Diceros bicornis minor: one gene and its partners. The protein of the gene in region 3 interacts with the protein of the main gene of each other region in a biochemical or structural test. Links are inferred from orthologs where the notes say so. Each region holds a gene or a part of one and is shown on either strand. Other genes may lie near its edges.

The links.
Region 1: the proteins of MDC1 (region 3) and TOPBP1 are reported together in a solved structure, tested with the Homo sapiens proteins (3 studies listed by BioGRID, with this or other methods). The link is inferred for Diceros bicornis minor from reciprocal best matches to the Homo sapiens genes MDC1 and TOPBP1.
Region 2: the proteins of MDC1 (region 3) and CDC27 form a complex in vitro, tested with the Homo sapiens proteins (2 studies listed by BioGRID). The link is inferred for Diceros bicornis minor from reciprocal best matches to the Homo sapiens genes MDC1 and CDC27.

Annotation. Positions count from the first base shown.
Region 1 is NC_080741.1:18,706,725-18,714,204, forward strand, and holds the start of TOPBP1 (DNA topoisomerase 2-binding protein 1), read left to right. Parts: upstream 1-4,469; 5' UTR 4,470-4,559; intron 4,560-5,178; 5' UTR 5,179-5,185; coding exon 5,186-5,269; intron 5,270-7,236; coding exon 7,237-7,371; intron 7,372-7,480. UniProt on the Homo sapiens protein: Scaffold protein that acts as a key protein-protein adapter in DNA replication and DNA repair. Composed of multiple BRCT domains, which specifically recognize and bind phosphorylated proteins, bringing proteins together into functional combinations.
Region 2 is NC_080757.1:44,865,218-44,872,230, reverse strand, and holds the start of CDC27 (cell division cycle protein 27 homolog), read left to right. Parts: upstream 1-4,002; 5' UTR 4,003-4,112; coding exon 4,113-4,139; exon of another isoform or gene 4,140-4,451; intron 4,452-7,013. UniProt on the Homo sapiens protein: Component of the anaphase promoting complex/cyclosome (APC/C), a cell cycle-regulated E3 ubiquitin ligase that controls progression through mitosis and the G1 phase of the cell cycle.
Region 3 is NC_080753.1:34,401,518-34,408,530, forward strand, and holds the start of MDC1 (mediator of DNA damage checkpoint protein 1), read left to right. Parts: upstream 1-3,996; 5' UTR 3,997-4,412; coding exon 4,413-4,415; intron 4,416-6,147; coding exon 6,148-6,286; intron 6,287-7,013. Other genes in the region: TUBB (tubulin beta chain), read right to left, coding at 1,230-1,286. UniProt on the Homo sapiens protein: Histone reader protein required for checkpoint-mediated cell cycle arrest in response to DNA damage within both the S phase and G2/M phases of the cell cycle.

The DNA of each region.
Region 1 (7,480 bases), on a different chromosome or scaffold from region 3:
TTAATTCCACTGGGGAAACTATGTGAGCCAGGGTAGAATATCCCTCCAAGGGGCTTGCAAACAAGAGTCTTTGTACACCAACTCCTGTCAGTCACTGAGGGTTTTTTCCATGGGTCATAAGTCCTCTTGCCCTTTGGTCTACTGTGTAGGTGGCAAAGCAGACTCCTGGTGTCAGAAAATGCCTTCATGCAAAGAAACACAGGTGCTGGCAGTTGGAAGTTTCCTAACGTGTTTAAGAGTGGGAAGGTAGAGGGGATATGTGTGGGAAACTAAGGGTCTGCTACACGGTCTCTACCAGAATCCACCTTATGGTCCAGTGACATATGGACTAAAAACACAGGCTGCTGCCCACCCCTACTCCTGCCCAACTGCACACCTGATATACAATGGCGGCACAAGGACAGAATAACTACAATAAAACCCTTTCAGAAAGGAGAGGAGGGGAGACCCATAGCCATTGCTCGTCAGTACAAACCCTGAAGTCCTACTGGGCAGGCATCGGGTGGCTCCTCTGCCTGATTAGATTCAGATTCTGTTCTCTGAAAGTAGCTCCATTGCTCATTGCTCTCCGAGGTCCCTGGCACCTCTCTCTAGGAGGTTCTTCCTTTTCCATTATCCTCTGTCTCCATGTCTAGACAGGGTATGGAGGAGTCTGTTCTCCTTGGGGGCTGTATGACATTTCACCCACTTCTGACTATGCAAGCTTGAAGATTGTATCAAAGTTTGAACACTCCAGACTTCTGGTTTCTTTCATAGAGCAATTGTCTCAAAACTCCAGTAACCTTCAGATCTATTCGCTTCCAGTCAGTTTCATGTGGTAGTCGTCAACCTCTCACATATAAGACAAGGTCAAGGGCAAGGCCTGACTGATTAGACTGGTGAAGATACATGAGACACTTTTAGATTTAGATCGCTTGTTACTTCTATAGATAGCAAAAAGGAAGAAGAAGCCAAAGGTGCCAGCTCCCAGGGTCCTTGTCCCAGATACCAAAAAAGATGACACTGAAACAAAACAGGCTGTTGTGGGAAGCCCCATTGCTGAGGAGCCAAAACTAGACAGCAGCTAAGTGGTTTCATATTCTGCAGCTCTATTCTGAGGGGAGTGGTGCAGAAAGCCCGATACCTCATCAGAATCTGGGAGGCGATGAGAAACTGATGACAGCCTCCGAGGGGAGGCAGGAAGATGAGTGGGAGGTGGCCTCATAGCTAGCATCTCCTTAAAGGACCCCACTCTCTTGTGTTCCAATAGGATCACAAGGTGTTTGACTGAGGCTCAGACATGCTGCAATTCCAACCTCTGCCTACACGGATATGTGCAAGGCTGCCAGGAAGCCATGGCAGAGCTGTTCCCCTACGGTAGTAGCCACACACACAGTTCTCTCCTAGACTAATTTTCAAGACTAATTTGCTATCCTTGGCCCCATCCCTCTCTCTCTCTCAATTGATGGTGCCTACCCAGCTTGGGTGGGAGGGCCATATTCTTAACTAGATCTTTTCTACATGGATGGGTTGTAATAGACATTTGTTGCTCAAAATCTCTCTCAGACTGATCTGTTGTTTTTAGGGTCTAGATGCAGCCAGCTTTTCTAACCTTGCAAAATGCCATATTTTTGGATTTTTAAATTCCCTTTTATCTTTCGCTTGCAAACAAGCTCATTCTTCCCTGAGCTAGGCTTTCTTATAATACTGAATTAAACGCAGCCAGTAGCAACCAATATGTGCCACTTACATTCTATTTTGCCTCCTCTTCCCTGCACCTCAGAAGACTCAGTATGCCTATGTTCTATCTTCCAGGTTACTGAAGATGACAGTTTAAACAAATGTTTTGCACTGCAAAGACTATTTCTGCAGCAATAAAGATCATTTACTAATTTCATTTTTAAACTATACATCCCTTTATACATATTTATTCATTTACAGCTCTGGAAACTTAAATATAAAATCCTCAAAAATCTATTTTTAGTTTAGTTTTTAATTTTGATAAGTCTTCTCTATGTAGCAAAATATAACAGAAATAAATACTTATATTACCACCACCCATATTTTAAAAGTAACTATTTTGTGATATTTGTTTCCTGTGTTTTTTCATTCTACAAACAGATAAAGTTCCTTTTAATCCTACTCCAAGCAGGGTCTGGAGTGTTTGGTTCCAGGTGGCAGAAGTGCCAAATATTCAGGGAGGTGATCCTAAATGCCAGAGAGGTGAGGGGAAAGTTAATCCCTGAACCCCATTTTCTGAGCAGCTTCTTGACAGCACATCACAGTTATTCCTCATTTTTACCAAAATCTTCATGGACCACAACCCACGTAACCACTCTCACCCTTTCCTAAAGGACTGCGGGTCAAGTAAACCTTAATGTGCAGGAGAATCAGTTAGAGGGCTTGTTAAAACACAGGGCAGTGGCGCCACCCTCAGAGTTTCCGACTCAGTAGATCTGGGATGGGGCCCAAGAACTTTCATTTCTAACAAGTTCTCAGGTGATGCTGATGCAGCTGGTCCAGGCACTACACTGGATGGAGAACCACTGTTCTAGCTAATGCCCAAGATTAGGTACTTCGGGGACAGACACAGACTCTCTCTGCCTATGTGGAGACACAGATGGGAGAACCTGTCACCTGGTCTCCCATTCTAAAGATGAGGTCGACTCCTCTGCTATTCAAATCCAGCTGCTAAAAGCTATACGGTTGTGGGGCCGGCCCCGTGGCGTAGTGGTTAAGTGCGCACGCTCCACTGCTGGCGGCCCGGGTTCGGATCCCGGGTGTGCACCGATGCACCGCTTGTAAGGCCATGCTGTGGCGACGTCCCATATAAAGTAGAGGAAGATGGGCACGGATGTTAGCCCAGGGCCAGTCTTCCTCAGCAAAAAGAGGAGGATTGGCATGGATGTTAGATCAGGGCTGATCTTCCTCAACAACAACAAAAAAAGCTAAAGGTTGATTTCATCATCCTCCTCCTCTTCATTAGCAGCATCTCTGACTCTCCTACTCTCAAGAGACCTCTCCTCAGCCCCAGAAATGTCAGGAATGGGCTCCTGCCCCAGTGCTGACCGAGCAGAGATGGGCAGGAGCAGGTAACAAGGAGCAGTGTGGTGTCAGGAAGGGCACGGGGTTCCAGTCACGCCGCCTCTTGTCACTTCCCGGCTATGTGGCCCTGGGCAAGTCACACAGTCCCTGAGCCTACTTTCCCCATCTGCATAGCACGGGACAGTGATGCCCACATACTAGAGAGTGCTGAGTAAACGGGAATAGTGCAAGCAGGAGTCCTTTGTCAACTGTAAAGCACCCTACAAATAGTAGTTACTATTACAGCTTCACGATAAATTCGCTCCTTTACAATTAACTGTGGCATCGTCTTGTTTTTTTTACAACTTTATTTCTAAGCCTTTCCTCACCTTCTCCCCAACAACAGGCCTTTCGAGTTCCAGAGTTACTGATCTGACTCACCTTCCACGGGTGTACTCACACACTTAGACCCAAGCTGCTCATTGCCATCTGTAGGAACTAGAAAGAAAAATAAAAACAATCGAGGTACATCGCCTTAAGCTCTCACATCACTCAATCCAGAGTCATGCGCTTCTCAATCTCAAGAGTCAAAAATAAAATGAGAAGAAACACTAACTAAGCAGTTTGTCATCGGTCATCAACAAGCAAAAACTGCAGTCCCCTTTTACCTCCTCTCCCCCGATCTCTGCTATTTGAACATTAGGTTCCATCCCAGAATCTCCCCAACACTCAGGGGGAGCTACAGGGAAAGAAAATGAGAAGCTCATTGAAAGAGGCGGCATCTTGGTAAGGACCCCTTTGCACTAGGTGTGTAATTCAAGTCACCCTGACTTCTTTCTTCCCTTCAGGCCTCTTGGCTGTGGCAGCTGGTGATTATACTCCTGCTATATTGGAGGAGAAAGAACCCAGTCCGTGGAGTCAAAAAGAGGTGGATGCCATCTTAATTCTACCACTTACTGTGTGACCTGGGACACATCATTTGACTTCTCTAAGCCTCCGCTTTTACATCGGTAAAACGCTGTTTGCCTCATAGAGTTGCTCTGGATGATAACACATGGTCTCGCGCACTGCCTGGCATTCGGCAGGTGTAATAACTGAGGAAACCCTCTTCTCCCCCGGCTTTCTTTTTCCCTGCGTTGGGACCTCCTCTAAGGTACTCCTGGCCCGCGGCCCCGCCCCCTGAGCCGTGGGGCCTGGACCAATGCCCAGCGGAGCCCGGCCCGCCCTTCAACGCCCTGAGCCCCAGAGAACGCGGCCCAAGCCCCGGAGCAGCCCTCCGCCGGCTGGCACGGCACTCGCCGCCCTCACCACCTTTGCCATCCCCGGCCTCCTCCCGCAGCGGCGGTGGCGTCACTTCCGTCGGAAGAGGCGGGCACGTCCGCGCGTTGGCGCGAAAGTCGGTTCCCGGCCTCGGCTATTTCCGGGTTCTGCGCTTGCCTCGGGCCGCGGTCGCCGCCGGGGGCGGGGGTGCGCCGGGGGCGCGCCCGACCCCAGACGCCGTCCGGCGGGCCGCACTCCCGCCACCCGCCGCCCGAAGACCCCCAGGCTGCGGCGAGGTCAGTGCGGCCCGGAGCGGGACCCAGCTCCCTGCCACCACAATTGGGGGGCGCGACCCCTCCTCTGGCCCTCGGGGCACTGGTAACCGGCCCTCCGACCGGCGGGTGGGACTCGGGCGCCGGAGGGTTGTGGCTGCGGCTGGACCGAGAGCCAGGCCTCTCCCTGGGAGCTGGGGAGCCGGAGCGGCGGGCCTTTTAGGGGGCATGACCTTGCTAAGTGGCTTCCATGTTTATATTAATGTCCGTTTACCGAGGGTGGACAGGCTTCGAGGGCCGGGGAGACCCACAGGGACAGATTCGTTGTGTGTATCCTTAAGCCAAGTGCAATTGAATGTCCTTTGGCTTGGGGGCTTAGAGCCCCATAGCAAAGGCCCTCAGTGTATTCAATTTAGAGACATTAATTTCGTTCTCTGATTTGCAAAGATTGGTGTTTTCATCTTTTTCCTTGACTTTGCCCACGTTCCTGCGTTTCTTACAAACGTGGTGGACGAGTTCCTGTGCAAGGCCAGAATGTCTATCCTTAGGCATTCTTGTTTGCACAGAAGAATAGGTGCTTTAAACATGTCACTTCATATCTAATGTGTTGTCGTTCTTGTTAATGGCTCCTTTATTTTGACAGTTCAAAAATGTCCAGAAATGACAAAGAACCGTTTTTCGTGAAGTTTTTAAAGTCTTCAGACAATTCTGAATATTTTTTTAAAGCTCTTGAGGTAAGAATAGTTGGGAATGTCTTGTTTGATGCTGTGAATTCATCTTTTTTTTAGTGTTTTTTATTTATTGGGCTTTTTATTCTTAGTTTATTTTTATAATAGTTTTACTGTAGTCTACATTATTATAGCTACGTCATTGTTAACATATTTTTGAATTGATGTTAGTATATCATTATTATGTATTTTGGGGGACTTGAAATCTATTATGACATTTCTGTTGAAAGTGGCACGCCTGCTGTTCTTAAAAATTAAGTTGCTTTCTTTTGTCTACTACCCAGAGTAGACCTTCGTGTGTTGAAAAAATTTAAGTCAGTCATGTACTGGTTACACTTCATTTTCTGGTTGTTAAAAGTATGTTTCATTTTTTACAGTGTAATATGGAAGGCTGTAGGGTAGTGTAGAGCCTTGCTACTCACAGGCCTCAGCAGCATCCGCATGGCCTGAGAGTTTGTTAGAAATGCAGAATCTGGGGCCCCACCTCAGACTTAGCAATTTGAATCTGCATTTTGACAAGATCCTCAGTGTGATCCTCGGTGTACATTAAAGTTTAGGAAGTACTGTTGTAGCAGGTATTTCTTTAAAGTTCATTCATTCAGCAAGTAATTATTGAATGTCCGTGATCTGATAAGCGCTGTTCTAGTGCTTGGGATACATCAGTGATCAGAGCAGGCAAAGATCCATACTTTCTCAGAGCTTATGTTCTGTTCTAGCAAGAGGAAATAGACATTAATCAGACACGATAAATGAGTAGACTATATAGTATGTTACAAGGTGCTAAGTACTATGGGAAGAGAAAAGAGCAGAACAGGTTAAGGGGTTCTGGAGGATGTTTGTGGGGGCAGAAGGAAAAGGGAGAGAGTAATTTTAAATAGAGTGTGATCTGGATAGCGTTTATGGAGAAGATGATATTTGAGTACACTTGAAGGAGGTGAGATAGTTAGCCATGTGGATATCTAGGGAAGAAGGTTTCAGGCAGAGGGAACAACCATACACAAGCCCCTGGGAAAGTGCTTGGAGAGTCTGTCTGACGTAGTGTGGCTGTAGTGTAGTGAGCAACGGATGGGAGGAGAATATTAAGGGATGCTTCAAAGTATAAGAGTAAAGAGGCCATGTAGTCCATTGTAAGGACTTGGGCTTTTTCTTTCAGTGAGATGGAGAGCCACTGGAGGGTTTTAATCAGAGGGGTTACATGATCTGACTTAATTGTTTTAAAAAGATCATTCTAATTATTTAACATAAGGACTTCAAAATTTGTTCAGAAAACAGGTGCTTACTGAGTGCCAGGATGTGGTGGCAAACCCGCTAGACCATGAAACTGTCACTCTTATAAGTGAGAAAGGCAAACACTATTTACATAATATCAATGTTATTTTTCTTCATAAAATAGACTAGAGGGATAGGGAAAGGGTATTTCAGAAGGCATAATCAGGAAAGGCATCTCTGAGGAGGTGACATTTGAGCAGATCTGATTGAAATGAGGGACTAAGTCAGGGGAAGACCTGGGAGAGGAGTATTCCAGGCAGCAGGAGCAAGAGCAAAGCCTCTACCTGAGGTCATGCTTAGCTTGTTCCAGGCCTAGAAGAGAAGCAGGAGTGGCTAGAGAAGACTAAGCAAGAGGGATGAGCGAGTGACAGACGGTCAGGGTGGGGAGATAGGCAGGGCCCAGACTCTGTGGTCTGTAGGCCGTTGTCGGAATGTGGATTTCATTGAGTGTGGTGGGAAGCTATTGGAAGTTTTTGAGCAGAGAGTGACGTGACCTGATTACTAGCTGCTGTGTGGAAAACAGATTTAGGGCCAGGGAGAGAGAGGGAACCACTTCGGAGACGTCTGCAGAGGTCTAGGTGAGAGATGATGATAGCTTTCATAGGGAAAAGGCTGGATTTGAGATGGCGTTTGATGATAGAATTCGTAGAACTTAAATACAGGTGAATAATTTCAGGTGCATTCTTATTTCATTTTTCTTTCAGTCAATAAAAGAGTTCCAATCAGAAGAATATCTTCAGATTATTACAGAAGAAGAAGCATTGAAGATAAAGGAGAATGATCGATCACTTTATATCTGTGACCCTTTTAGTGGCATTGTCTTTGATCACCTCAAAAAGGTTTGCTAACTTTTAGTGTTTTCCTTCGGCAATCTGTTTTTTGGTTTGTTTTTGCTTCAGTGGATGTAAGTTCTTTACTGATCATGAAATATTACACATATTATGCATC
Region 2 (7,013 bases), on a different chromosome or scaffold from region 3:
TTAATTGCTTTCAGCTCAAAATAATCCTTATGCCAAAGTGACATATTCTGATCCCTTTTGCTGGAATGTAGAGTATAAGAGGGAGATAGATGACAGAAGGCTAAACAAGGAGGCAGGGACTAGACCTTAGAGGGTCTTGTAAGGCAAGTTAAAGGGTTTGGACTATATCCTAAGAACGGTGGGAAATCCTGAGTTGAGGGGGCATATTTAGGCAGAGGAGTCCTCACATGATCGGACTTGCTTTTGGAGGTAGGTAAGACTAGAGGCAAGAAGAGACATGAAGGTATATTTAGGAGGTAAACTTAGTAGGGCTTTGTGACTAGATGTTAAAGAAAGAGAGTGGTTTCTGGTTGGGCAATGGAGAAGATGACAATGCCTTAAACTTGGACAGGAAATATTTCAAGTATGAGGAATGAGGAGCTCCATTCTGAACAAAGCACCTGTGAGACACGCAGATAGAGACATCCAGTTCACAGCTAGGCACTTGGGTCTGGAGTTCTAAGAAGCAGTCTGGCTGCAGAAACAGATTTTGGAACAATTTGTGGATGAAAAACTGAGGCCACAAGAATGGAAGGGTGTTCCTGGGAAGAATGTGTAGGATCAGAAGAAGACCTACAACAGATCCCTGAAGCGTTCTAACATTAGAGGGGCTGCAAAGGAAACTGATAAAGAACAGAGCAGTAGGAGGAAAACCAGGAGACCGTGTGATCAGAGAAGCCAAAGGAAGGGGATGATTTGACCAAGACGGAGAACCAAAAAAAAAAAAGAGGAGAAAAAAAGTCTCAAGGTCAAGTAACAAAAGAAGAATAAAAGGCAGCATGCAACAGGGACAAAAGAAGGATACAGACAAGGAGGACTGAAGGAATTCAGAAGAGTAAGCTTCTCCTGGGCTATGTTTCAGTGGGACCTGCATCTGGGCACTGATACCATGTCTAGCTTCTTGAGTAGTTCCCTAATGCTGGCCTCCAAATCTGACTGAACATGAAACAGAACAAGAGGCAGGCTAAGGAGAAGAGATAATTTACCATGTTTGGAATAATGCTTACTCTAACCTAACTCCACTCGCCAGCTAAACATATGTGGATAATGAATGACAGCAGGGTACCCAAGTGGTTGTTGGATGGTGAGTTGAGCTTAAGTATGTCAATCAGGAACAGAGAAGGAAGTAAAAATGCTCTAAAAGATCCCATTAAAGCACAACTTCAAACAATGTGGCCTTGCTGCGGAGGAGCAGAAAATCACAACAGATGTATCAGCCCAGCGAACAACAGTCAGAAAAGAGATGCCTTTTTTCAGCAGGTAAAAAAAAAAGGCTTTAGGCAAATTCCAAGCTTACAAGTCAGATGTCAAGCACCACAGACTCTTTAAATGCTGACTCCAGATACACATTTCCATACAAAAAATATCATCTCTGTGTATCCCGTGTTGTAAATTCCTACATTTAAGTTTACAAGAATCCATTGTGCAAATATAAGACTTGGGTCGGCAGACCACAAGCTTAGCATGAGCAAACAGTGTCATGTGACTGCTAAAAAATGCAAGTAAAACTTTAGTGTACTTAATAGAAGTGCTCAGATAATAAAAGCAGTAGTCCTACTGCATTCTGAATTAATTAGAATAAATCTGGAGTGTTGTGTTCAATTAAAAGCATCAAATTTTAAGAGTAATATCTCTTACCCATCGCTTTCTTCCCATTCCCACTACCAAATTCTCTCATCTCATACCCGGTAGTTTCCCAGCAGTCACTCCTTCCCATCAGCACATGCCTTGTGCAGCATCACTTTGCTAGCCTCCCATCTAGAGGTGGAGTCTATTTCTCCTCCCACTGAATCCAAGCTGGCATTGTATCTGACTTGAACCAACAAGAAGTGATGGAGTTTGACTTATAGGCCTAGGCCTTAAGGGACCTCACAGCTTTTGTGTTGGCCTGCTTGGTTGCCAGCCACCAAGTCAAGAAGCTGGGGCTAGACTACCGATTGATGAGAGGCCAAGGCTGAGAGAGAGGTCACGTGGAGGAGAACCGAGGGGCTCAGCCAATAGGTAGCACCAAGGCCCAAAACATCTGAGTGAAGCCGTCTTGGATCTTCCATCCCCAGTAAAGCCAATGATGGTAATATTCTGTATCTGTGCTATCCATTATGGAAGTCATTAGCTACATATGTCTACTGAGTCTTTGGAATGGACAGGGCTCCTGAAGAACTTCACTTTTTTTTTTTTTTGGTGAGGAAGATTGGCCCTGAGCTAACATCTGTTGCCAATCTTCCTCTTTTTGCTTGAGGAAGATTGTCCCTGAGCTAACATCTGTGCCCATCTTCCTCTATTTTGTATGTGGGACACTGCCACAGTGTGGCTTGATGAGCAGTGTGTAGGTCCATGCCAGGGATCCAAACCCATGAACCCCAGGCCGCCAAAGCAGAGTGCGCAAACTTAACCACTACACCACCAGGCCGACCCCCAGAACTTCATTTTTAATTTCACTTGATTTTAACTAAACTTTAAACAGTCAGTGGCTACCATATCAGTCATTGTAGAAGACTATTCCCACTCCAATTCATCCAGCATAATTCTGCTAAAAGAACAGGGCAGCAGAGAATCACCTTAGCACCTACGCTTTATGGGGCTACAAGTGCATAAGCAGTAACTAGAGATGACTGGTGGTGAAGAATATAGTAGCTCTGTCAACTAGCATTAAAAAAAAAAAAAAAAAAAAGACCTCCCTCCACATCATCCAAAGGAAGGGAGTGACCCATTCCAAACTGATTTTATCTGCATAAAATGTGAGAATGAGAAAGGGAAATTGCCACACAATGGAATATACACCCAACGTCTAGCCTAGAGATGTCCTGATCAGAAAATTAACCTTCAAAACTGTTTTCCCCATCTACAGAAAAACAAAATTTTAATAGCTCCCTGGTTCACATATTTTTGGGGGAGAGGGAGCAGGAAAGAAATTTGAAAGAGCCTACTATGTGTGTTAGACACAACCACAAGGGTTAATGCATTTAATTCTCTTCATCACTTTTTTCATACTAGGGAAATAGAAGTTCAGAGAGGTTGTGACTTGCCTAAGGATCTAAAACTAGTTAGTGCAAGAGAGAAAATTCAAAATCAAGCCTCTGAATTTCTCAATACACCACAAAGCCTCTCCTATAAAAATTTCTGCCTGCCTTCCGAGATTTTCCATGATCTGGTCATCTAACTAATTATTTCCAGTTAACACCTTAACTCTTATCAGACTGATCTCATTTCTGCTTTCCTTCACTTACCCTCTCCTTTCTTTTCTAATTCTACCCATCCTTCAAAGCCCAGTTTGTGTCCCTTTTTCTTTCCTCATCTTAATCCCAACTAATTTTCTTCCCCTCTGAATTTTTACATCACTTATAGTGGGCACCACATAATATAGCACTCTTAGTTACATTGCTTTTCCCTTAAATCGACCGTAATCTCTTTAAGGACAAATACCAAATAAATTTTTGGAGGGTGGCAATCCTTCCAAATTTCCTATATCCCTTTGAGGCATGAATAGGTACTTCTGGAATGGATGAATGACCTAAGCTCAACAGACAAATACTTCTTGATTAATTAAAGTCAGCCCCAAACTCTCATGTTTTACCCTTTGCTTAATCTACCGCGCACCAATTAATCAAGAAAAGCTGAGCAGAAATCAAGACGGCAGCACAGCCACGTAACGCTCCCCACCCGCTCCGGCACGCCACGCCCAGCCTGCTGGTAGCCGATTGGGCGTGGCCCAGCCTAGGGTGGCCTATTGGGCGTGGCGTGCGTGAGTGAAGGCGGGCCGAGAAAAGAAACCTACGCTCTGGACAGGACTCGGTAGTCTCCGGTAATCCTCGACAATTTCCGGCAACGGTCTCCTCCTCCGTCGACCCACCTCGGGTGTTTCCGGCCTCCTTCGGGCTTTTCCGTCTGGCGCCCGCGCGGATCTCTCCCCTTCGGGTATTTCCGTGTCCCGCTCGGAGGTACTCGGCAGTCTCTCGGCCTCCCCCATTCCCCGGTAACGGTCGCTGGTGAGTTTAAATGAGCCGGGGCTGGCCGGGCCGAGCCGCTACGGGGGGGGCCTGAGGCACTGCAGAAAGTGGGCCTGAGCCTCAAGGATGACGGTGCTGCAGGAACCCGTCCAGGTAATGAGAACCCCGTTCTCTGAGGCTTGGCTCGCAGCCTCGGTCGGGAAGCAGCGTATGGCCACTCCGCGGCCTGGTGCGGCCTAGGCCCGGCTGCCTCTCCCGCCTCCCCCCATGCCGGGTCCTGCCTATCCTCTCGTCAGTCCGGAGGCCTTGCCCGTAGCCTACGCCGTGTTACCTCTGGTCCTACGTCCCTTCTACCCCTCGTGTGAGCGGGGTTCGGCGATAATAGCTTCTTTCCCCTCCGAGCCAACGTCCACCTGGGCCCTCCTGTCAGTCTAGGGGCCCGGCCCCGGCCGGGGTGAGGGATGAGGGGCCGAAAACTCGCCCCAGGTGCTCTCGTGCCTAAAGGATGGTGGGGAAGCACATTTGATCAGAGCTTGTACGGGCTTCATAACGGTGGGGCAAGTTGGCGGGGTGGAGGGGGTTGGTTTTGTTTTTGTTTTATGTGAGAGGGCGGAGGGAGGGTAGATCGGTATTTTTAATACTAATTTCTATTTTGGTAACAGACTTGCAAGCCCACGTTGCTTTTCTCGCTCAGTGAATTTCCCACTGGACAATGATCTGAGAAGAGAACTCCAAGGCCCAGTGCTGAGGTGCAAGCACCTATCCAAGGGGAGGGGGTGGAAACGGCAAATCTGGGTTTTTCCATGACCTGTGGTGGGGATCAGGAGTGTTTTATTGTGCATGTTTGTAAGGCGTTCAGGAAATGAAAGACAAATAGTGGTTTTACCATCCACTTCACTGTCCTCACCACACCAGGAAGTGTGTGAGGCAGTGCCAAGTCATTTTTCCCCTTGTCGTCTGAAGAAACTGAATCTTTTGTCCCTTGGTGATGAACCAAGTCTGGGAGACTGTCAACCCACCCTAGGATCTTGAACTTGATTAGAAGAGTTGAGCTCTGTCAACTGCTGTCATTGACTCATGGATTTTCTCTATTTTGAAGTTATAAAGCAAACTGATTTTAGAAATTATTTCATATACCCTTAATAGGCCTGTGATATCAAATAGTAAATATTTTAGTACATCACTTCTTCCATATTTCCTTAATTTTTCTTCACAGGATGAAATACCAGTTTCTGCTAGTTGGCTGCTTCCCCGGCTTTTTACATGTAGCAGCTATTAGTGTTTGATTTAATGTAATGTGGGATTCTATTTTAGGAAATTTACCTGTTTGTAAGTTGTACCAGTGCTTCCAAAGCTATTTCTTTCCATCCAAATTCCTCTTACTAGTAAAGAGTCTCTGAAGATTTTTTTTTTTTGAGGCTTAACATGAAATTAGAAGTTGCTGTCTGTACCTTCTTACATAGATAAGCAGATCACTCAAGTTGTTTAATTTCTGTTTCATATTCTTGTAATTCTGTCTTAATAATTAATGATACGTTTGCCTTCTTTGGCCCCAAAAGACTTCTAAAATGATAAACTAGTTTCATTGCTAGCTTATAACCACTATTTAATAATAATTTCAACTTGTATAGGAGCTTGGAGAAGAAAAGAAATACATAGCCTATTCCTAGATAGTGCCTGCCAGGTTTCCTCTTTTCCTTAAAGTACTCTTAGCAGTAATGCACTTAGGCATTTTTAAGGCTCAAATGTCAAATTTATCTTTTTTTTTCACACTACCTTTATCCATTAGATTTGGGAACAGTGGTAAGAAGTTTTAAGATACGAGGTAGTATAAGAAGAAATAAGAGATCTGGAGCAGAGGGAAGAACAAGCAATTTTGGCTAGGATGATAAAGATCAACTGACCAGAGATAGTGCTGAAAATGGGAAAGAATTAGTGAGGAAGAAAATAAAAATAGGGGACTAGCCCTGTGGCGTAGTGGTTATGTTCAGGCGCTCTGCTTTGGTGGCCTGAGGTTCGCAGGTTCGGATCCCTGCTGCAGACCTATGCACCGCTCATCAAGCCATACTGTGGCGGCGTCGCATATATGAAATAGAGGAAGATGGGCACAGATGTTAGCTGATGGCCAATTTCCCTGACCAAACAAAAAGAAAAGAAAACTAGGACAGATAAAGATACTGTATATGTTTTTCTTTTTAACTATAATAAGTGATTGCATGTATTTGTAAAGGGATGAGAGTAAGTTGGAAAGTTGTTTTCTTTCTTGGGATGCCTCATGGTTCATGGTATTACTAGGCATAGGAAAAAGTTGAGAGAAAAAATGAGCAACTGATCTCTGCCTTTTTATTTTCTTTAACGTTTTAGTGTGGAATAGCCAGTCTGAGATAAGGTAAGAATAAGCTCCTCCTCCAAATTATCTCTCATAGAAAAGTGTTAGTTAATATTTGAGTCATTTCAAAAATCTCTCCTATTATGAGGCAGAAATTCTGTCGATTATTTTATTTTTAATATAACTGTTTGGAGAGGACACACTACCCTAAATGACTTCAATCAGTGCTAATTTGGAGGTTTATAAAATTCACCTGATGAAACTGATTAAAAAACCAGTGATATTTTGATAGATTTATCAATTATTCCTGGGGTAGGACTTCACAGTTAGAAGTGTTGGATGAAGTTGTAAACAAGCCTTATAAAAATCACCATAATGAGCAGTGTGGTAAGTGGTTACTATTCACATAATATCATTTTATTTATTTATTTATTTATTTATTTATTTATTTATTTATTAATAATCATATATTTTTTTAAAGATTTATTTATTTATTTTTTTCCCCCCAAAGCCCCAGTAGATAGTTCTATGTCACAGCTGCACATCCTTCTAGTTGCTGCATGTGGGACGCGGCCTCAGCATGGCCGGAGAAGCAGTGCGTCGGTGTGTGCCCGGGATCCGAACCCCGGGCCACCAGTAGCGGAGCGCGCACACTTAACTGCTAAGCCACGGAGCCGGCCCATAATATCATTTTAGAG
Region 3 (7,013 bases):
GATGTGCGGCTGGGCGTGCCCGGGGATAGCAGGAACCGGGGTGAGAGGATGGAGGCGGCAGAGTAGACTGGATAAGAGCCCCTCCCCGCCCCCCCCCACGCTGGGCACCGCCCCTCCACGCAGCGCACAAAGAGCCAGGGAGACGCAGAAAGGAGCCGCTGCAGCAGTCGACCACCTCCCGCCCCCCGCCACGTGACTGCGGCGCACGCGCACGCCGAGCAGCCAACAAAGAGGCGCCGAGCGTGGGCGGGGCCGAGGCGCGAATTCCGCGCGCCAGGGGCGGGGCTCGGCTCGGGCTCGCGCGCCCCCGGCCGGCCCTCAGGGCCGCATTGTCCCGGCGCGCCAAGGGGCGCCCGGGCCCCGCCCTTCTGCTACAACGTAGCAGCCGCACTTCCTCCCGCCCCTCCCCCGCTACACTGTAACCGCGCGCAAAAGAAAAAAAAAATCCCCCCTTGGCCTCGAATTTTATTCCTTCGCTTTTCCCCCCTTGCTTTAAATGAGGATCACCTTCCTTTCTCCCATCCTTTAGTCGTAAGGGACCCTTTAAAGAAAACGACCCCCTCCTTTTCTCCCGCCCTCTTTCTCATCTGTTCACTCCCTAAAAGGGTCTCTTTTAAGGGGAAATCAAAGAAAGTAAAATTAATCAAGCACATGTTAGCCTTCCATCCACGAAAAACTACCGGACCGCCCCTCGGGGATCGCGGGCGCGCGGAGAGCCCCGATCTTTTGTGAATGGTAACGCGTAGTGCAACCCAGTGGCCCACCGCGTCCCCCACCTTGGGATCCCAGCTCTCTGCAGCTGCCCGCCCAGCCTCGTCCCTTCCTCCTCCGGCTTAGCCACATAAAGCCCCGCCAAGGGAGATGCACCCGGGGAAAACCTCGCCTCGCTTTGTCTCGGACTGTTTCCGCATGTCCCTCCCTCCCCAGTCTTCAGACCGTTAGGAGATCCTCTTTAAGTAAAAGCTTGCAGAACCTCGGTCTTCCCGCCCCCTAAATCTGAAGGGTGCTTTTAATGGCTTCCCCAAAATGAGCCTGCCAAAAAAAAATCATTCCCCATTTTCTTAAGAGCAAATTCTAGCAACAAATGGGTATTATATATATAAAACTTTTTTTGGCAAAGCTTGGCTAAAGATGAAGAGTGCAAATGTCCTACAACCACTCTTTATCATTTGTCCGGGTTTTTTCCTTCGGAAAAAGAAATATAGTTAAAAGAGGTTTAAAATCCTTACCTTGGCACCGATCTGGTTGCCACATTGACCGGCCTGGATGTGCACGATTTCCCTCATGTTTAAAATTTATTTTAATTCTTTTCCTCGCCTCAAGGTGTGTACGGGGCAAGAAAACGATATGTGGGGTTTTTTTTCTCTGCTGCTGGCCGCAGGCTGGAAGGATGGGACGTGCCCCGGAGGCTGGAGCAGCGAGGTCCGAACGCGGCGGCAGGAAGGTTCTGAGAGGGAGAAAGGAGAGGGGAGGGCGCAGGAGGGAAGGCTGGCAGGGCGGGGCGCGCTTGCGCCGGGGTGGGAAGGCGGGAGAACGCGCTCCGCGCCGCGGTGGGGAGACAAAGCTTCATCGAGGCTGGCCCTGATTAGTCGATGCTGGTCATGTATCAGACGTCCATTGGTCTCTGCGCGAGTGGACGAACGCAGTCAGCTCTGGGAGTTGTAGTCCTCTATTGTTGTCCACGCTGCAAAATGAAGGGACGAATGGGTGGGTACCGGGTTTTTGGTTTTGGACTTTTTTTGTATTTTATGAAAAAATGACCTTGCGTACGATTTCTTTCCTCTATGCCTGAGTTTTTTGTACAAAAAGAGCGTCGTTTTCGGGGATACAGGATTTGGGACCCCTGGAGTGCCAGGCGTTGGAAGGAGTGGGCACGCCCTGAAAGCTCCCCGCGGCGGTAGCTCTTGGGAAGACAGGACTGCTTAGCTCAGCGAAAACTGGGGAGAAATGCGGCACCCTGCTCTGCTATCTAACAGCTGGTCCTTTGGTGACCCAAGGCATGAACTCCAGTAAGCCGCCGCTCCCCCAGATACTCAGGAAGAAGGAGGGGATTGCCCTCCTATTTCTTTGGGAGTTTTCTAATGATAATATTTTGAAAGAGAAACAAAATTGCAACAGGGGCTTTTCAGGATAGAGATGTAATTGTCCGGAGGTTACGTTCAGAGAATAAGTTGAATAGTTTAGAGAAGCTGATATCTGGGATCTGTGAAGCCAGAAGTTTCCTTCCGTGTAGGGGATCTGGGCCTTAGAGCAGCGTTGAAGACACTGTGGTCTTGTCAAACAGAACTATGGGGTGGGATGCCTGATAGAATTTCAGTGTCTTTCCAGCCTTTTTCAGTTCGCTGATTTCACTGACCAGCTGGCTGGCCACTGCAACCTTTCAAGAACCCCAGGATTGAACAAAAGGGGGATAGGGAGGGAGATGGATGGGAGAAAATTGGACGGGCTCAAGTCAGAGCCGCATGTTTCTTCTCAGGCATTAATTCATTTGATAGATACTAAGTGTCCACCAAACCAGGAGCTAGGGATACAAAAACGATTAAAAATTCTCTCCCTGGCCTACCAGGATCTTGCAGTTTCGTGAGAAGTGTATAAACAATGGAGTGTGGTAATACCATAATACAGGACATGTGATATCAAGGTCATCACTGATAATTCACATTGGATTCAACACACATTTCTCAGTCACCTAAATAAAAGAATATCAAGTTGTGTAAGACCCCTCTACCCACTCAAAATAAAATGTTTTATGTTTTAGGGCATGGTCACAATGAAAGTAGTTATTTTGTGGCAGTGGAGAGAGTTCAGAATTTAGAATGAGCGGACGTTTCAATTTCTCTACCTTACATTAGCTGTAGGAACCTAAGCAAGTCATTCACCTTCGCAGAGCTTCAATTCCCTCTGTAAAATCTACTTCTGCCTATTTGATTGCTGTGGTCAGGCTGAAGTGAGATAAAATGCAAAAGGACTTCCTAAATCATACACATGTCAAATTGTTACTATCCTCTTCTGTCTTAGTATGAGATGATGAAATAAATGGTTTTATCATTCTTCTTTAACCCCTTGAAAGACCTCGGTCAGCCTTTAAGATGGTTAGCAAAATAGTTCTTTCTGTTCGCCTAGGGATCTTTGCTTTAGGAAAATGACCTCAAAATGTCTATCAGGGATGTATTCTCAAGGAGGAAATGACATGACTTCTACTAAACAAGCCAAATCAAAAAGAAATGAACTTCCATTGCAATGAGGAGTCCTCAAGCGCCACGCCTACGGGCAGTTCTCCAAACTGCAGCCTCCGGCCACGACTGCAACCCGCAACCCGTTTTCACTTCTCATGAGTCAGCGGACACCATGTCTGGGAGGACTGAGGAAGGGCGCTCTGGCCGCACTAGACGCATCGGGCGACGACTATGGTAAGTCCCTCTATCCGCGCCGGCAACCAGACTCTGTGGTCGCGGTTTGGAAATCTGCGCGGGAAGTGGGCGGTGGGTGGTGAGGCGGTAGTGGGTTGTCCCTCGCAACTGCCCAATCGGAGTGCGCGATTCTGAGCGCGGAGGGCGGCCTCTGCTTACCGCCTCGCACAACGGATCTCAAGCCCCTGAGAGAAGCCGCCCCTTTGAGCGGTGAGGGGGCTGGGCGGGGATGGGGGCGGGGCTATGGATGTGCGTCCGCGTTGGATATTTGATCAATCGGCCTGCCGCAGGACTGTGAAAGACAGCGGCGGGAGCCAATCAGAGAATCGGCTCCCTCCGGGCGCGAGCAGTCGCGCCACCGGCCCGCGGCCGTTACTGGTGGCGCGCGCGGGGACTCAAAGTAGGTGAGTTCTGGGGGGCCTTGCCCACAGCTCCCCGGGTGCCATCTTGGTTCTCCTGGAGGGCGGGAGGGGCGTGCCTTGGGTGCGACTGGGCGGAGGAGATTTGGAAGTTTGCTTCTCGGATTATAATATTCATCTTTACTTGACGCCCCTCCCCGAGTTTAGGTATGAAGACACAGGGAGACGTTAGGCCAGGAGGGAACCCACTGGGATGGGGATCAAAGATGGTGGCCCATTGGATTGGAGCCAAGGGTCATGGGCACCCGCTGAGTTCGCCAGTCTTAATGACGGAGTTGGTACTATCTCCAAGGAGGCGTCCCACTTTCCCTTCCTGTCAACAGTTTCCCTCTAGGGTGGCATCTTGCTAAGTGAGTTCCGTCCCTGCTATTTTGAGTTTTCATCTTTCATTTGTTCTTTCATCAGGAGGGCAGGGTGAATTTTATGTTTCGTTCATGAATATATCCTGAATACTTCGAACGGTACCAGGTGCACAATGACTACTCTTGAAGGAATATGATGGACCCCAGGGGAAAAGACACTTCTGCTGGTCCAGTTCTCGAAGGGATGTGTGAAGGCAGAAAGGGAAAGTAACGGTTACAATATGGTGAGAAGTGTTAGGATAGTTTCAAGTCCTTTCACCATTGTGGAACACGTACGATACACCAGGAACACCAGAAAGCAGGCAAGACTCCAGGAAGGGCTTTGCTAAGGAAGTGACATTTGAACTGAATTGTAAAAGATGGGTAGGAGTTAGACCAGAAAACTAGGAGCAAAGGGCCAAGGAGCTGGATAAGGCATGCAGATGTGGGGGACAACAGGAACAGTGTGTTCAGAGAGTAGGGAGAAGATTCATGTGGTTGAACCATAGGCTTGAGGGGAGGCATACATTGCAGGACATGAAGTTCAGATCATAGAGGGTCTTGCTAAGGAGTTTAGATTTTATGTTATCCTGTGGGCATGGAAAGCCATCAAAGAATATTAAACAGGGGCTGGCCCGGTAGCATAGTGGTTAAGGTGCTCTACTTCGGTGGCCCTGGGTTTGTGGGTTCGGATCCCGGGTGCGGACATACGCACTGCTCATCAAGCCATGCTGTGGCAGGCGTCCCACAAATAAAATAGAGGAAGATTGGCACAGATGTTAGCTCAGGGACCATCTTCCTCAAGCATGAAGAGAAAGATTGGCAACAGATGTTAGCTCAGGGCCAATCTTCCTCACCAAAAAAATATGTGTATGTATTAAACAGGGGAGGGACATGTGGGTGATCTTGGGCATTTTCCTTAACCCATCTATGTTGCAGTTTCTTTATCTGAGAAATAGAAGTTAATAATAACACTTTGTAGGGTTCTTGTGATGATTAAATGAGTCAGTCCATGCAAAGTAACTAGAACAGTGCTTGACACGTAGCAAGCATCTATATATGTCAGCTATTATGATTCTTTGCAGTTAGTCTGATCACACTGAGATGGTCTGGTAAAGGGTAAAAAGCATGGGCTTTGCAGCCAGAAGCACCTTTATTCCTGTCCTTTCCACTTACCTGCTGTTATCTGCAGCAAATTACTTAATATTTTAGCCTTAGATTCCTAAATGCCTGCCTCATATCATTACCATGCCTGACACGTAACACCATGCCTGACAGATAGTTGATGCTTGGCAAAAGTTAGCTCCCTTTAAAATGGTGTATTTCAAACTATGGGTTGCAACCCAATAGTGGATAGTGAAATCAATTTAGTGGGTTGCAAATCAGCATTTGAAAAATAGAGAATAGGGCTGGCCCCGTGGCGTAGCAGGTAAGTGTGCTGGCTCTGCTTCTGGCGGCCCAGGTTCGGATCTCAGGCACACACCAACGCACCGCTTGTCAGGCCATGCTGTGGCGGCGTCCCATATAAAGTGGAGGAAGATAGGCACAGATGTTAGCCCAGGGCCAGTCTTCCTCAGCAAAAACAGGAGGATTGGCATGGATGTTAGCTCAGGGCTGATCTTCCTCACACACAAAAAACAAAAAATTAAAAAAATTAAAAATAGAGAACAGAAAAAAATAGAATGAAGCTATCAGTGTGTTGTATATAGTAAGGCTAGGCAGTTTTTCTCAAAACATTTGTCTGTATAAATAAGCACGTGTGTTTGTATATATTTGGGACCTTATGATATTTATTTCTTATTCTGTATCGTGGTCAAAAATATTTTTTAAATGCTTCAGAAAGATAACCACGGAATGATCGGCGGAAAGAGAAGCATGAACCTCCATAACTATCCAGGTTTACCCCGGTTATCAGTCTTCTCTCTGAGGCTGTGTGTGTGAACCAATAATAGAGATGATGATGTGTTTCCTTCCCAGATTATGGAGGACACTCAGGCTATTGACTGGGAGGCTGAAGAAGAGGAGGAGACAGAGAGACCCAGTGAATCCTTGGGGTGTAACTTGGCGCCCGTAGGGCGACTGCATATCTTCAGTAGTGCCTATGGACCAGAAAAAGGTCAGAGGGTATTGGATGCTGAAGTACTGGTATAGGCCTCTTATTTTTGTAAGGAAGTAGTAGGAGGTTTGCAGGAGGCTTATATATGTTTCAAGGAGATGTGAAAAAATTCTTTTACTGGCAATGGAGAACAGGGGGCTGATTGAGTTAATTGCTCCAGGCAAGTGCCCTGGACTCACCGGAGGTGATTTTACTTTGCTAGAAAATTAAGAGATTCAAATAAAAATCCAGTGTGGTCTGGAAATGGATGGTAGTGATGGTTGCACAACAATGTGAATATACTTAATGCCACTGAACTGTACACTTAGAAATGGTTAGGGCCAGCCCCGTGGCGTAGCGGTTAAGTGCGCAGGCTCAGCTGCTGGCTGCCCGGGTTTGGATCCCGGGCGCGCACCATTGCACCGCTTGTCAGGCCATGCTGTGGCGGCGTCCCATGTAAAGTGGAGGAAGATAGGCACAGATGTTAGCCCAGGGCCAGTCTTCCTCAGCAAAAACAGGAGGATTGGCATGGATGTTAGCTCAGGGCTGATCTTCCTCACAAAAAAAAAAAAAAAAAAGAAATGGTTAAAATGGTAAACCTTATGTATATTTTATCACAATAGAAAAAAATCCCGTGTGGAGGATGAGGTATTGACTATGAATAATATGTTACATATATTCTTCAATATCTAGATGTCCTGGGGCCTTTTATTTGTCTAATGCATGTGGGGACCTTGTGTGAGTAGTG